Xenopus tropicalis: one gene and its partners. The protein of the gene in region 4 interacts with the protein of the main gene of each other region in a biochemical or structural test. Links are inferred from orthologs where the notes say so. Each region holds a gene or a part of one and is shown on either strand. Other genes may lie near its edges.

What was found. The genes of interacting proteins can lie anywhere in the genome.
Region 1: the proteins of sumo2 (region 4) and trim28 form a complex in vitro, tested with the Homo sapiens proteins (2 studies listed by BioGRID). The link is inferred for Xenopus tropicalis from reciprocal best matches to the Homo sapiens genes SUMO2 and TRIM28.
Region 2: the proteins of sumo2 (region 4) and baz1a form a complex in vitro, tested with the Homo sapiens proteins (2 studies listed by BioGRID). The link is inferred for Xenopus tropicalis from reciprocal best matches to the Homo sapiens genes SUMO2 and BAZ1A.
Region 3: the proteins of sumo2 (region 4) and dnm1l form a complex in vitro, tested with the Homo sapiens proteins (2 studies listed by BioGRID, with this or other methods). The link is inferred for Xenopus tropicalis from reciprocal best matches to the Homo sapiens genes SUMO2 and DNM1L.

Annotation. Positions count from the first base shown.
Region 1 is NC_030683.2:102,993,803-102,997,438, reverse strand, and holds part of trim28 (transcription intermediary factor 1-beta), read right to left. Parts: intron 2,305-3,636; coding exon 2,158-2,304; intron 2,068-2,157; coding exon 1,953-2,067; intron 1,367-1,952; coding exon 1,281-1,366; intron 1-1,280. UniProt on the Homo sapiens protein: Nuclear corepressor for KRAB domain-containing zinc finger proteins (KRAB-ZFPs).
Region 2 is NC_030684.2:109,375,416-109,379,051, reverse strand, and holds part of baz1a (bromodomain adjacent to zinc finger domain protein 1A), read left to right. Parts: intron 1-876; coding exon 877-1,155; intron 1,156-3,084; coding exon 3,085-3,219; intron 3,220-3,636. UniProt on the Homo sapiens protein: Regulatory subunit of the ATP-dependent ACF-1 and ACF-5 ISWI chromatin remodeling complexes, which form ordered nucleosome arrays on chromatin and slide edge- and center-positioned histone octamers away from their original location on the DNA template to facilitate access to DNA during DNA-templated processes such as DNA replication, transcription, and repair.
Region 3 is NC_030679.2:4,788,593-4,792,228, reverse strand, and holds part of dnm1l (dynamin-1-like protein), read left to right. Parts: intron 1-941; coding exon 942-1,028; intron 1,029-2,028; coding exon 2,029-2,191; intron 2,192-2,471; coding exon 2,472-2,592; intron 2,593-2,923; coding exon 2,924-3,055; intron 3,056-3,587; coding exon 3,588-3,636. UniProt on the Homo sapiens protein: Functions in mitochondrial and peroxisomal division.
Region 4 is NC_030686.2:44,410,907-44,415,317, reverse strand, and holds the start of sumo2 (small ubiquitin-related modifier 2 precursor), read right to left. Parts: upstream 2,918-4,411; 5' UTR 2,908-2,917; coding exon 2,887-2,907; intron 2,177-2,886; exon of another isoform or gene 1,940-2,176; intron 1,593-1,939; exon of another isoform or gene 735-1,592; intron 133-734; coding exon 1-132. UniProt on the Homo sapiens protein: Ubiquitin-like protein that can be covalently attached to proteins as a monomer or as a lysine-linked polymer.

The sequences.
Region 1 (3,636 bases), on a different chromosome or scaffold from region 4:
ATGATCAAGGCAACATTATAAGATAAAAGAGGCAAATTACCATCGGCAGTACTGACACTATAGCAGTGTTTTGTACGCACTGTTCTTTGCTGGGATACAGGGGCAGGCAAAATGCCCTGTGTGCCATAAACCTTAAGGGCTCTGGCACACGGGGAGATTAGTCACCCGCGACAAATCGCCCAGTTCACGGGCGACTAATCTGCCCGAAATGCCATCCCACCGGCGAAAATGTAAATCCAAGTGGGATGGCATACGCGGCGGCGTGATTTTAGTGAAATTGCGCAAGTTGCCTTGAGAGGAAACTTCCACAATTTCAGTGAAAATCTCCCCGTGTGCCAGAGGCCAAAAGGATACAAACAGGTAAACCTTTGGGATTAAAAGCTCCATTTACAAAGGGAAAGTCTTAACTTATCTGGCTACTTAATACCTCAGAATGCCAGTACCAGAATTAGGGAGTGGGTTAGCTTACTTACAAGTGTGGCTTGCTTCTGCATTACATGCTACTCTGTAGGCAGCCACGGGGGAAATGAAGGCACTTCATCTGTGTATCTCAATGCACATGGAGCTCTGATTTCTTGCCGACATAGGGCGGGTTGCAGTTACAGGGAACTAGGCATAGTGCCATGTCAACATTGCACACTATACCATCTTTGTAAACCACTAGTATTGTCTTCTACTGTGTACCTATATATTATATTTAGCACGAAGGCACATGGGATATTTGTGCCATCAGAGAATGGCCTAAATCCACACAACTGCCTCCTAACGGCTGTAATGCAAACTTAATACATGTTTAAGGGACAGAACCGCCAGTCTGGTGCTTCCAGTTTGCATAAAGTCAATGAGAGGAGGAAGGAGCAGAAGCTTCAAAAGTTAAAACTTCCTTCATAACTGAATCATGTGCACACCTTCCAATCAAGGCTGAAATATCAAGTCATACACCAAAGGCACAAAATCCATACACTTGGACCTGTGAAAGTGATCTGTAATTAGGGGGTTTTCAAGGCCACTACAGAACATTCCTATATCAGTTACATTAGTTGAACATATCTATTTACATTAAATAAAGTCCAAGGGGGGGGGTCTCTAATGGGATGAACGTGATATGTTTTTTTTCAATTTGTTTTTGTTAAATATCCCCATCTTGTAATCCAAACCTGCATGGGCTGGATGAAGTTACCAGCTGTACCAGCTCTGGCTGGAGATGCTTGAATCTGGGAAGCACCAAGCCTTGGTCGATTCTGTACCATTGGATTAAAGTTAGTAAGAGAAGCCAGCACCTGAGATGACGCAGAATTTATAGACTGGGCTGCCAACGATCCAGAAGATGACTGAGGAACACCTGTTTTGTCGCATACAATTTTGCCTGTAAAATGGAAATAAGACTGCGGTTATAAATATAAAATAAAGATAATGCGCCCACTGACGCCAATTTTATGGTGAAGCAAAACAGGATAGATTCATCACTAAAGGCTACATGTATACTGTTGCCATCAATGGTCCAATATTATTTAGTTGATGACAGAATCTGGTTGTTATAATTTCCACGTTAATCTTAAATTCAAACACTGAAACCCACAATCTCTGTTTTCAGTCACCGGGTTCAGTGATCATGAAGAAACATAGCTCAGATTTATACAGGCGTTACTGATTAAACAAAATGGCAGCCTCCAGTCAGTGGGGCCCTTCTGGCCAAGCCTGAAGAACAGTTCTTGTTCTTTTCACAGACAATTAGTTTTGGTAAGGAGATAGGGCTCTATGAAAAGCAAGCAAGATGAAGCCATGCTGATCGCTCAGCCAGATACTGCTGGCAACTGTGTGGGATGTTCTTAGACAGAAGCTGTTTGGATCACACAAGCAGGCATTTATTATTTGAAACTTTGCCACAAGACATCAGTTATCTCTTCACTGAACATTATGAATAAGAAAAAGGGAAATGTTTCATTTCTTACCAAAAAACTCTGCATGCTTTGTCCAGGTATCAGAGTCCCACTGGAACTTTAAATCACCTAAAGGCTCAACTGGATCTACAATAACTTTTAGAGCACGATGCAACTGAAAATGTATCTATTGATCAGACAAAAAAAATGCAACAATTTAGGATGCATACTTAAGTAAAATCAGAAAGACAAAGCTAAACGCTATATGTTATATTACCAGTTTCTTTGAAAGCAATAAGGCTATGTTGTTGTCACTTTCCAGTGCCCACGTGGCAAACCTAAGGATGTGCTCTTGATGCTTTTGCAATTTGTTCATAGCCCAGTGCTGCTTTTCCAGTTTATCCTGATGACCTTCTGTTACTTTCTAAAGAAAAAAAAAATATATATATATATATCATAGGATGGGTAGCTTCAGCACTGTGATTTAAAGTTATCCAGAATGTATCCAGAAGCCTATGATCAGGTCAGGCACAGTGGTAGGTGAACTGGACCAGCAACATTACTTACAATTGCATCGAAAAATACAGACATTCAGGAGTTGTTGCATTCCTACAAAGGCTGATAATTTAGAGCTGGATCATCAGCATTTAAGATTTTGTTCTAAGAATGGAACTTATTTTTGTACCCTTTTGTACCTGTTATTAATTGTATTTTTTTTATGGAACCTGTATGTTCAATTACTGTACAGCACTGCAGAATTTATACAAAGGATAATAATAATAATAATCAGCAGAATTGTTAAAGGAGAACTAAACCCTAAAAATGCCATAACTTAAATACTAAATTGACTACACTAGCCAAAAGTTTCAGCATCTCTGTAGTAGTAATGGTACTGGTCTTTACAGTAGTCACAGGAGATCCCCATCTTGGATTCTGTTAGAACTGTCCGGGACAGGGCACATGGTCCGTGTGATCCGAGCAGCTGTTGAAAAGCTAAGTCTTTGCAAATTATCAAACAGAAAATGAGGTTGGCCTGTAATATAAGCTCATGCTACAGGGATAATTATTCTATTCTGATGCAATTGCCCTGATTTCAGAGCTGCCATGTAAAGTGAATCTAAATGAATTACTAAGCTCTAACTGACAGAAGCACAGAACATGTGCAGTGAATCAGCAGAAAAGATGATAGGGGGCTACTGGGGGCACAGATCTTACCTGCTAAAGGGCTGTGGTTGCCTTGGATTGGTGCAGAAGCCCAAAACAATGTTCAAAAGTTCTATCCTATTCCTTTAGTTAAGCTTTGGTTCTTTAAATTAGTTTCACTTATCTTTCCCATATGTCTTTGATTTAGGTTATTTTCTTGATACATTGAGGATGCACTAAAAGTTAATTTGATATATCTAGATCAGTATTCCAAGACACAGCTTATACTATATGATTTCTAGTTACTCTAAGAACTACAAATTTTGATTTAATACAAATTTTGTAAACCTCAAGAATTGACAGCACACCAGATAAGCAAATTACTTGCTCTTGCCCTGCTAAAACCTGCTAGCAATGACTCTGTATCTTAGACGACAACAGTAAAAAGAGTATTCAAGTTTGTATTTAAAGGAACAAAAGACAGCAGCTCAAACAGAAAACAAAATGTATTTATATAATTTGCCCATATCTCTTTCCTCCCAACAGCAAACTGTGCCTAATGCCAATCCTGCGTTGCACTGTACACTTACAAGAAAATCACTTATTGGAAGAG
Region 2 (3,636 bases), on a different chromosome or scaffold from region 4:
ACCGTTCCCCTTTAATGGCAGCACATGATCATCCATAAATGTAAACCTGCACCTGTGCAAGCTGTAGTCCCAGTTGATGCTTTGAAATGCAGCTGTCCACACTTCCAGGAAACTGTTGCCTGATAAGTACTTGTAAATGCAGTTGCAGGTGACCCACTGTGCAAGCCAGTGCAGCAGATTTGGGCACTTGTTGTTACTCTTAAAATGGTTTTTAAAGCGGACCTGTCACCCTAAGAAATAAATCCAAATTATTTTCTATATTGTTAGTTGAGCAAAATAAACTTTACTTACTCTATATAAATAATATAAATCTTGCTTCCTTCCGTCTTGGAATTACTCAATGAAAGCAAGCAGGCAGGCACCATTTTGTGGACACTGTTATTAAGGCAAGCTTTGTATCATGCCAAAATCTTGTTTATGTGATAGAATGGGGGACCTGATGCCCAGGCCCATGCACTGGCTACACAATTAGATAAGGAGGAGGGAGGGGAGAAGTGAGATGTGCAGTGACATCTAGGAAGTGCTGAATGGAAAGCTAAAGTTACTTTCTGCCCCGCCTCTATGCCTAAGGCATAGAGGCGGGGCAAGCAATATATGATTGACAGCTGTGATTTTTAAATGCCTTTATAATGGGTTTGGATGTGTTAATATAAAAATGAATTTGGGTTTCATGTTTAATTTGAACAGGACTTTTATTATACAGATTTTCATGTCTGGGTGACAGGTCCACTTTAATAGTGCCCGAAGTACCACTTCCTAAGCTATATTATTTTTTTAATCAATGTAAGTTCTAATTCAATTGTAATTTCACCTAAAAGCTAAAATAAGTGTTTTACTGTTTAACATTTAACTTTTCTATTGCTTTCCCTTACACAGTGATTTTTTTGAACGTACTATCCTGTGCAACAGCCTTGTATGGAGCTGCTCCCTGACAGGCAAATCTGGCCTTACCTACCAAGAAGCACTTGAATCGGAGAAAAAAGTGAGACAGAGTCTGAAGACCTTCCCCGAGTCCTTAATCGTCCCTATCTTGTACCTCTCCACACTTGTGAGACGCCAGCGGGTGACAGATTTGTGTGAAGAAATATTTGCCTATGTGAAGGACAGATTCTTTGTTGATGAAACAGTGACTGTGGTGAGAAACAGTGGCGCAAGGTAAATTGAATAAGTCAGTGAAGCAGATCAGTACGTGTCTTTGTGAAAACAGCAGTGTCTGACATTTTCCTCTTGCAATGGCTGAGCCAGAAAAACAACTCTGTGCAAGGCTTAAGATAATGTATTCTATCATGACGTTGCACAGAAGAGGAAGTACAGTGAAACAATTAGTGTTATATTATTATTTATTTACTAATAACTAATGCTACATGGCAAGCTACACAATAACTCCTTGCTTGCATAGGAGGCTAGTCTTCCCAACTTGGCAGGCTTTCCTCAAGATTAATCTCTGTGGGAAAATTGGCCCAGGGGACACTTGTGTAAAAGTGTATTAAAACCTAGCTCAGATCATAATGCTTTTGGGCGATGGACAGGTGTTCTCAGAATAGAAGTGCTTTCTATCATGCTATATTATTTATATATTCTGGACTTTCGTTACCAGATCACCAGCCAATATCTGTACCTTAGCTTTTTTTTTACTATTATTATATAGAAGTATGGGTCCATTTTCCCGAAACCCGTAATCCAGAAAGGTCCAAATTACAGAAGACCATCTTCCATTGACTCTATTTCAAAATTTTTGTGTTTCATATTTATTTTTTCCTTTAATAACAAAACACTTCCTTGTACCCAACTAAGATTATTAAAGGGGTGGTTCACCTTCAAGTAAACTTTTAGTATGTTATAGAAACGTATTTTATTTTTCTATTCATGTCCTCTCCTATTCATATACCAGCCTCTCATTCAACCTGCACCCTGGTTGCTAATGTTATTTGGACCCTAGCAACCAGATAGCTACTGAAACTCCAAACTGAAGAGCTGCTAAACAAAAAGTGAAATGACTAAAACACTACAAATAAAAAAACATGAAGACCAATTGCAAATTGTCTCAGAATATTACACCCTACATCATACTAAAAATTGAACAACCCCTTTAAAGGAGAAGGAAAGACTAAGTCACTTGGGGGTGCCAAAATGTTAGGCACCCCCAAGTGACTTTAATCGCTTACCCCGGGCTGGTGCCCCTGTTAGTACCTTCAAGCACTTCCTTCTTCCTAGTTTCTTCTGCCGGCAAAATCCCTGGGCCGGCGCATGCGCAGTAGAGTGAAAAGCCGACTTCTTTGTTAAAGTTCGGCTTTTCACTCTACTGCGCAGGCGCGAACACGGAGGAGGAAGCAATCGCTGCAGGTACCCCGGGCTGGTGTTTTTTTTTTTCCTAACAGCGGCACCAGCCCCAGGGTAAAAGGTAAGCGCTTAAAATCACTTGGGGGTGCCTAACGTTTTGGCACCCCCAAATGACTTAGCCTTTCCTTCTCCTTTAATCCTTACTGGAGGCAAAACAATCCTATTGGGTTTAATTAACGTTTCAATTATTTTTTAGTAGATTTAAAATATGAAGATCCAGATTACGGAAAGACCTCTTATCCACAAAACCCCAGGTCCCAAGAATTCTGAATAACAGGTCCTATAACTGTACTTTAGTCCTGGGTATATAATAGAGCATACTTCAGTTATCTGATATAGAATAGAGCCTGATAAAATCCTTTACCCAGGTGTAAAATAAATACTATTGTTTCACAAATATATGTTGATTAAAAATATTTGCACTAATGAACCTGGGTAATAATAGCTTGAAATATCCATTAGTCTGTTTATACAAGCCAGAAATTCCACAATTCCAATAGTAAAAATGTTTGGTTTATTGCTGTAAGAACAAAAGAGGCATTAGGATTTTGCGGTAAAGTCTACCTTTGTAACTAAAAGCCAGTTTTAAAGCTTTTTGCATTTATTTCTGTTACACATGGCTAGAAAATAAAGGCTGAGCAAAGCATTGTCTGAATGCTATTACCAGTTCTTTCAGAAAACACTTTGCATGCACAGACATGTTTGAAATGATTCTGCTTAGTTTATTCAGCCTTTGTTTTTCAGGTTGGAGTGCAAAATCTTGGAAGTTAAACTCCCTCCTCAACAGAATGGAGTGGCTAATGGCCATGTTAGTAATGAAGATACTATTGTTATCAGTGATAGTGATGAGGAACCACCTAAAGAAATGCCACAGACTAGGTAAGTGAACTTCACACAGATTTAGAAAGATGTTATAATAAATTTGCACATGACTTTATCTGGATAGTAATTTTTTTTATAATATAAAAATACAAATTCAGGTTACATGATAGATCTGCTATGTTTGTTTAAGGTGCTACCATTTTCTTAAGCAAACCCGCATTACTGAATCGGCAATACTTAAAACGAGTAAGTTGAGTTAAAAAGCTCAGACATGTCCAGGGGGAAGAGGGAGAAAGGAGCAAGCTGTGTAGGCTTAAAGCTGAGAGAGGAAAGTCTGGCTCTGAAGCTTATGTGTAATAAATAGAAGCAAGGGAATGCAGTTTGTTTTCACAGAGGACTCAGAGCAGCAATACTGTAAAATGTTTTGCTGTATTTACATAGAACTTTCTGATAAAGCTTACTTAGTTTTAAGCT
Region 3 (3,636 bases), on a different chromosome or scaffold from region 4:
TAATTACAGTAACCAAATAGGAATATCAACCTCACAGTCGGCTGTTAGTTTGTGGGGGTCAGTGACCCCATGTAGGTTACCTACTGGGGCGTCCTGTATTTAACTTGCCCTTTAAACACAACCTCCTTTATATCATGGCTAATTAAGCAGCCATTGCATGAAGTTGTTATTACGGAGCATCGCTTGGGCAGGGAGCCTAATTACATTTAATATGTCCCTTCCCGCCATCCCTCATTGTCCTTCCTGTTCTGCAGGGCACATAATTAAATAATTACCCTCGTTTACTTTGGGCCGCTGTTTGTATTGCCAAGAAGTCACATGACTTTTAATGCCCATAAACTGATTTTAGTCACAGCTTCCGCTTGTGCTTTACCCTTTTCTTTATTTCTTTTCTATATTCACTATATACCCGAGTACAGTAAGGAACAATGCATGTTTATAAATATGTCCCATAGTATTCAGGCATGAATTAACCCTTTTATTATCAAACAAAGAGCAGACTGGCGCCCGTAGGCTGGCGCTCACTGCAGCGTGACGGCCAAGAACTGGTTTTACCTCGGGCCATTGTTCTAAAGGTTCCGGTTCTGCCGCTGGCGGTCACTTCACACCCAGCGAGTAATACCTGTACATCCTTAGGATTAAAGGATCATTTCTCAACACTGGGCAAACCCATGAAAGCCAATCAAACGCGTGCATTCATTTTTCTACCTGCAGCTGGCTGAAAAAAGCCAGTCTCTGATTGGTTGCTATGGGTAACTGCCCACGGGGCAAACTTGCCCAGTGTTACTAAATGAGCCCCAGTGAATTTATTGTGTGCACTGACAGCGGTATGTAACAGGTTAATCCTGCAGCCCATTTACTGACAGAAGCTCTGCAGGTACCAGAAGGCCGTTGGGCCCGAGCCCAAACTTTGTAGACTTAATGTCTCCTTCTCTTTCCAGGGTATCAGCTCGGAGCCCATCCACCTAAAGATATTCTCCCCGAATGTGGTCAACCTGACGCTCGTGGATTTGCCAGGAATGACAAAGGTAACGTGGGGGGAAGACAAGCCCCCATGTGTAATAAAAGGCGTTTCTCCAGTAGCAGTAACCCTAGCAACCAATAAGATGTTTGCTTTTAAACAGTAGTAAATTCTACTTGCTGATTGGTTGCTATAGGCAGTGCTGCCATCAGGGAGGCACAGGGGGCACAGTTGTCCCGGGCCCGGGCAACCTTCACTTTTAAAGGTACAGTTTTCTGACGGACCCTGTCATCTGTAATCCAATCCGATTGGTCGTGTCCCGTGCATGTGTGTGATGTCAGTATTAACGGGGGGGTAACCTTATAAACGGGCCGGTCCGCCGGAGCCACCGCCGCCATAGAAGATGCCAAAGAAGACGGTGTATGGGGGGCACTGTCTGCCGGGGGCAATTGGGGGCACTGTCTGCCGGGGGCAATTGGGGGCACTGTCTGCCGGGGGCAATTGGGGGCACTGTCTGCCGGGGGCAATTGGGGGCACTGTCTGCCGGCGGCAATTGGGGGCACTGTCTGCCGGGGGCAATTGGGGGCACTGTCTGCCGGGGGCAATTGGGGGCACTGTCTTTGGGGATCTGGCCAGCATAGTGTTAGGGGGGCCCTGATCCTTTTTATGTCTGTGTGTCCTTTGTACTGATGAGAGGGGCCATTGAGGCAGGAGCCCTGTGGGAGGGGGCCCTGTGATTTCTGATGGCGGCCCTGGCTATAGGTTACTGCTCCTGGGCAGTGCCTTTTATTACATAACCCCCCAAAGTGGCCCGGTACAGCACTGCACTCCTCAGGCGTTTGCTGGTGTTTAACGGAACAAGATTACCCTCTAGTGGCCAAAAGATGAACGTCCTTTGTGTGGCTTTTAATGCCTCCTACCTGGGCACGGGGGGAAGAGAGCAGCCCAGGAGCAGGAAGTAGAAAGATTCAGAGCTCTGGGGCAGAAATGGGACCCATTTCCATTCCAGTTGTCTTTACCCTGAAATTTATATCCATTATTATAACGTGGAGGTTTTTCTTCCCCAGGTACCTGTCGGCGACCAACCCAAAGACATCGAAATCCAGATCCGCGAGCTCATCCTGAGGTACATCAGCAACCCCAATTCCATTATCCTGGCAGTCACGGCTGCCAACACCGACATGGCAACTTCAGAGGCTCTTAAGATCGCGCGGGAAAGTGACCCTGACGGTAAGTCACCTCTTTTCTGGGTAGAAACCATGTGATCATGACCAGAAATGCTACTGGGTAATCCTAAATAGAAAATGACCATTTTAAGAATTAAGGGCCACCCCCTGGGGTGCTAGGGGCCACATCAGCCAATGTATGGGCAGAGTTCTGTTTTTTGCTTCCACACTTCAGCTGTTGGTTAAGTATTCATTTTGGGGGTATAGTTTCCCTTTAACACTGTCCGCCATAATGGCTTCCCTGGTCACATGTTCCTAAATTTTCCCCGATCCCATTTATCCAGGTCGCAGGACTCTCGCCGTCATAACCAAGCTGGACCTGATGGACGCAGGGACGGACGCTATGGATGTGCTTCTGGGACGGGTCATCCCGGTCAAACTTGGCATCATCGGAGTGGTCAACAGGTATCCAGATCCGTTACCTTTTTACCATATACAATGGCATGGTCGCAGCTTGGGCAGCACAGATCTAAAGGGTTATTGGGGGTCATTTATCAACACTAAGCACGATTACCCATGGGCAGTAACCCGTGGCAACCAATCAAATTGCTGCATTCATGGTTTTACCTGCAGCTGGCTGAAAAAAAAGAGAATTTCCGATTGGTTGCTATGGATTGCACCCCATATAATGAGAGCCAGTCGCCATTTATTTCTCGGAATGGGGCTGAGCTATTGGCTGGAGAAAGGCAATAGCTTCATATGGTGAGAACCCTAATTATTGATTTCTAATTCAAAGGAGCCAGTTGGACATTAATAACAAAAAGAGCGTGGCCGACTCTATCCGGGATGAGTACGGGTTCCTGCAGAAGAAATACCCCTCCCTGGCAAACAGGAACGGAACCAAATATCTTGCACGGACTCTTAACAGGTAACGCTTCCTTCCAAAATGGCCACCATTAGGTTAACTTTTAGTATATTACAGAATGGCCTCTTCTTAGCAAGTTTTCAATTGGTCTTTATTTTTCATTCTTTATAGTTTTTGAATTCTTTTCCTTCCTCTTCTGCCTCTTTCCTGCTCTCAAATGGGAGTCACTGACCCCGGCAGCCAAAAACCTATTCCTACAGTTTTATTGTCACTTATTTTATATTTAGGCCTTCCTCTATCCATATTCCCGTGTCTAATTCAAGCCACTGCCTGGTTGCTAGGTAAAATTGGACCCTAGCAACCTGATAGCTGCTTGAAATTCCAAACTGGAGAGCTGCTGAATAAAAAGCTAAATATTTCTAAAACGGCAAATAATAAAAAATGAAGACCAATTGCAGTTTGTCTTTAAAGGTGAACCACCCCTTTAATGCCTGCTCTGGGTAACAGCAATGGAATCTGGGAGGTATTACTCGGTACAACTATATGTTGGCAGCAAGAGGATAAAATGCCCCATATGTATATGCCGTGTCTGTAGGCTACTGATGCACCACATCCGCGACTGTCTGCCGGAGCTGAAGACCAGA
Region 4 (4,411 bases):
CTGACGCTCACAATATGCCTTCATCAGTTTGTTGAGCGGTGTGTGCCGCTTGATCTTGAATTGCACCACTGAGCCATCCTGGCCAGCCACTTTCAGGTTGATGTGGTCGTTGTTCTCGGTCTTAACACCTTCCTAAAAGAAGTAAAAAGTGGAATGAGTGCTGGGAAGGGGCATCATGGCACAGAAACACTGGTAACGCTTGTGGTTATTCATCCCGTTGTGAGAAATGAGCTCTTTGCACCCCATTCTAGAGAATACTTTGGCACCAAATGACAAAAGAACTCTAGTTATATTAGATCTGGCCGGGGACCATGCTACATTTGGTAATGTGTTCACAACGCACAAGAAGAAAGATGGGGAGCACAGAAGTTATAAGGCTGCATGTCATTACACAAAATACACCAAATGTTCCCTTTAGAACAACAGTCACTGCTGGGAGCTACAGTTCTGGAATGTTTACTGACTGCACAGGCATTTAACTTACAACTACACTCACAAAAGCTGGTCTAGCCCCTAACCTCATCGTATATATTAGCCTTACAGTACGCTTGCCTGTGTCTCTAGGTCCCCAATTAACAGGTCCCAGTGATTAAGAGAGCAATATCACATTGAGGGCCAGTATGCAGAATAACATGGTACTGCTTCACAGTGTCACAGACCCTGAATCTAAAGACTTAATACAAGTTTAAAAGTTCTCAGAACTTTCTTTCCACTGTGCCTAATGCACCTTACCCTTCCTGCTTCTAACACGTGTTCCTCCATTACCTACACTACTTCCTCAATTCTAAAATTCCTTCCATACTAAGAATTCTCCTTCCTTAGGTCGAAGACACACAGTAGTAGCAGCTACTTGTCACAGCTACTAAAATATTCAATGCCAATCAGTTACTGATAATTCTCTGTTTTCGCAACGCTCCATACTGTCTAAGGCAGGGGATTTTCTGGTGTTTTGTAGCTGTAAAAAATTAGTTGCTGCTAGTAGCTCAGTGTGTCTTCACCCTTATGCCCCTTACTCTGCATGGAATGCCCCCAACATAACCTAGGCTTCTGGCCAGTATTAACTCTATTTAATGGCACTGAGCCCTGCATACCCATTTTCCCACCATTAAGCTCTCCCATAATACTTGCCCTTCTCACTGGCCAGAGGCTACATCTTTTCCCACTCAACATTCTTGAATTCCTCTCTCCCCAAGTTACCTCATTCCCTAAAGTCAATGCCCCCAACATACCTGGGCTCAGGGCCCCCTAAGCTCCCAATTCCCAGCCCCAGTATATGCCCCCAACATACCTGGGCTCAGGGCCCCCTAAGCTCCCAATTCCCAGCCCCAGTATATGCCCCCAACATACCTGGGCTCAGGGCCCCCTAAGCTCCCAATTCACAGCCCCAGTATATGCCCCCAACATACCTGGGCTCAGGGCCCCCTAAGCTCCCAATTCACAGCCCCAGTATATGCCCCCAACATACCTGGGCTCAGGGCCCCCTAAGCTCCCAATTCCCAGTATATGCCCCCAACATACCTGGGCTCAGGGCCCCCTAAGCTCCCAATTCCCAGTATATGCCCCCAACATACCTGGGCTCAGGGCCCCCTAAGCTCCCAATTCCCAGTATATGCCCCCAACATACCTGGGCTCAGGGCCCCCTAAGCTCCCAATTCACAGCCCCAGTATATGCCCCCAACATACCTGGGCTCAGGGCCCCCTAAGCTCCCAATTCCCAGTATATGCCCCCAACATACCTGGGCTCAGGGCCCTCTAAGCTGCCAATTCCCAGCCCCAGTATATTCCCCCCCAACATACCTGGGCTCAGGGCCCCCTAACCTCCCTATTCCCAGCCCCAGTATATGTCCCCAACATACCTAGGCTCAGAGCCCCCTAAACTGCCAATTCCCAGGCCCAGTATATTCCCCCCCCAACATACCTGGGCTCAGGGCCCCCTAACCTCCCAATTCCCAGCCCCAGTATATTCCCCCACAACATACCTGGGCTCAGGCCCCCCTAATATCCCTATTCCCAGTATAGCCAAGGTCGCCCATTCCCATTTACTTCCCATCTCCCAATACTGGCAGTGCCCAACATACCCTTCCCCAGTGCTCCCTGGTTCCTGTCCTCCCTTCCCCAGTGCTCCCTGGCTCCTGTGCTCCCTTCCCCAGTGCTCCCTGGTTCCTGTGCTCCCTGGTTCCTGTGCTCCCTTCCCCAGTGCTCCCTTCCCCAGTGCTCCCTTCCCCAGTGCTCCCTTCCCCAGTGCTCCCTTCCCCAGTGCTCCCTTCCCCAGTGCTCCCTTCCCCAGTGCTCCCTTCCCCAGTGCTCCCTTCCCCAGTGCTCCCTTCCCCAGTGCTCCCTTCCCCTGTGCTCCCTTCCCCTGTGCTCCCTTCCCCTGTGCTCCCTTCCCCTGTGCTCCCTTCCCCTGTGCTCCCTTCCCCTGTGCTCCCTTCCCCTGTGCTCCCTTCCCCTGTGCTCCCTTCCCCAGTGCTCCCTTCCCCAGTGCTCCCTGGTTCCTGTGCTCCCTTCCCCAGTGCTCCCTTCCCCTGTGCTCCCTTCCCCAGTGCTCCCTTCCCCTGTGCTCCCTTCCCCAGTGCTCCCTTCCCCAGTGCTCCCTTCCCCAGTGCTCCCTTCCCCAGTGCTCCCTGGTTCCTGTGCTCCCTTCCCCATAAACCTAGTGGGCCAATGCAGTGCAGCCTCCCATAACCAAGCCCCGCTAGTATGGGCGTCCCTCTCCCGGCTGTCTCCCTACGGGCCCCTCCCGTACCCACAGAGCCCCCGCACAGCCCGCAGGCCGCTGCCCCCTCCCTTTAGCGCCTAGGCCTCTCCCTCCTCCTGCCCCGCACCCACTGCCCCCGGCCCCAAGCCCGCTATGCGACCCTTCCCTCTCCCAGCCCGGAGCAGGACCTTGGGCTTATCGTCCGCCATTGTCAGTTCGCTCCCGGTGCCCGGTACTCTCGCTGCTGCCTCCTCCTCACAAAGAGCCTGAACTGGCGCGGGACGTGGAACGAGAGCGCGCACGTACGGAAAGGAAGATTTGGCGCACTCTCTGCGTGCGCGCCCCCGCCGCTATTTCCACTGTAGGGAAAAGCCCGCCTTGGGGAGCACGTGGCGGCGGGGGCGCGCATGGGGGGAGGGGTCTGACTCTGAGGAGAGTCAGGGTGAGGTTGGGCCGCATTGTACCCGGGATTGGCTAAATCCCTTCCAGTGACTTCATTGGCCTAGTCTCATAGAGGGGGCAGGAGCCATGATAGAAGCTTCCAGAAACAGCCCCCCCTATAATTAAGCCAAAGGAGGAAGCCATACCAGTTGCCATACCAGTTACCTTTTCACTAAAACTTTATTTTGATCAGTCCTGCACTTAAGGGCAAATGCCCATACCTGGTGCCTCTTACCTTCCAGTTTGTGCCTGTATGTTACCCAACCACTTAGATTGTAAGCTCTACGGGGCAGGGACCTCCTTCCTACTGTGTCTCATACCCCATGGCACTTACTCCCTGTGTATTTATACTTATTTATTGAAATTTATTATAACACTTGCCCTACCTGTGGGTAATTGTGTATATTGTAAGATTGTACAGTGCTGCGTATCCTTGTGGCGCTTTATAAATAAAGTTATACATACCAAAAACATAGAGAAGCTAACCATATCCAAAGCTACCAGACAAAACATAAAAATCATATCCAAACCATATCCAAAGTTACCAGACAAAACATAAAAATCATATCCAAACCATATCCAAAGTTACCAGACAAAACATAAAAATCATATCCAAACCATATCCAAAGTTACCAGACAAAACATAAAAATCATATCCAAACCATATCCAAAGTTTCCAGACAAAACATAAAAATCATGGAAGGTGGCTGCCCTTTTAGGGACATAAAATACAGCCATTTCCCAGGGTGGGACTGGACGAGCGGAACGATAGGAGAAAAACCGTCTGTTGAGGTGGTGGACCCCACACACCTCATTCCAACACTGGGATTTACTGTCTTTCTTCCCTATTTACTGTTAATAACACTGACAGCCTTCTGCTCCTCATAGTTACCCCCCCAAAAATGAAAAGGCCTAAAACCCACCCAAAATTGCCTAGGGTACAAGCAGTGCATATTGGGACATGGTTATAAGGGCATTTATTTTCTTTCATTTGGAGTTTGCTTGTAAGGTGGAGATCTGTAAACAACAAAGGGATGACAATACAAATGTCACAAGCAAAAGGGAGAAACCACAGCAAATATTTTAAATAAAGGGGAGAGTAAATTGCATATCAAAATAAATGAGTCATAAGTATTATATGAGATCAGCAGCCATTCTTCTGATCCAAACATAACTTGAAACAAAAGAAAACACCATGTGGTTCAAAGTTGGTCTACTCTCTATGTTAGTGCAGTCTGCACCCAACACCCATCCTAAAGGTGGCCATATGGC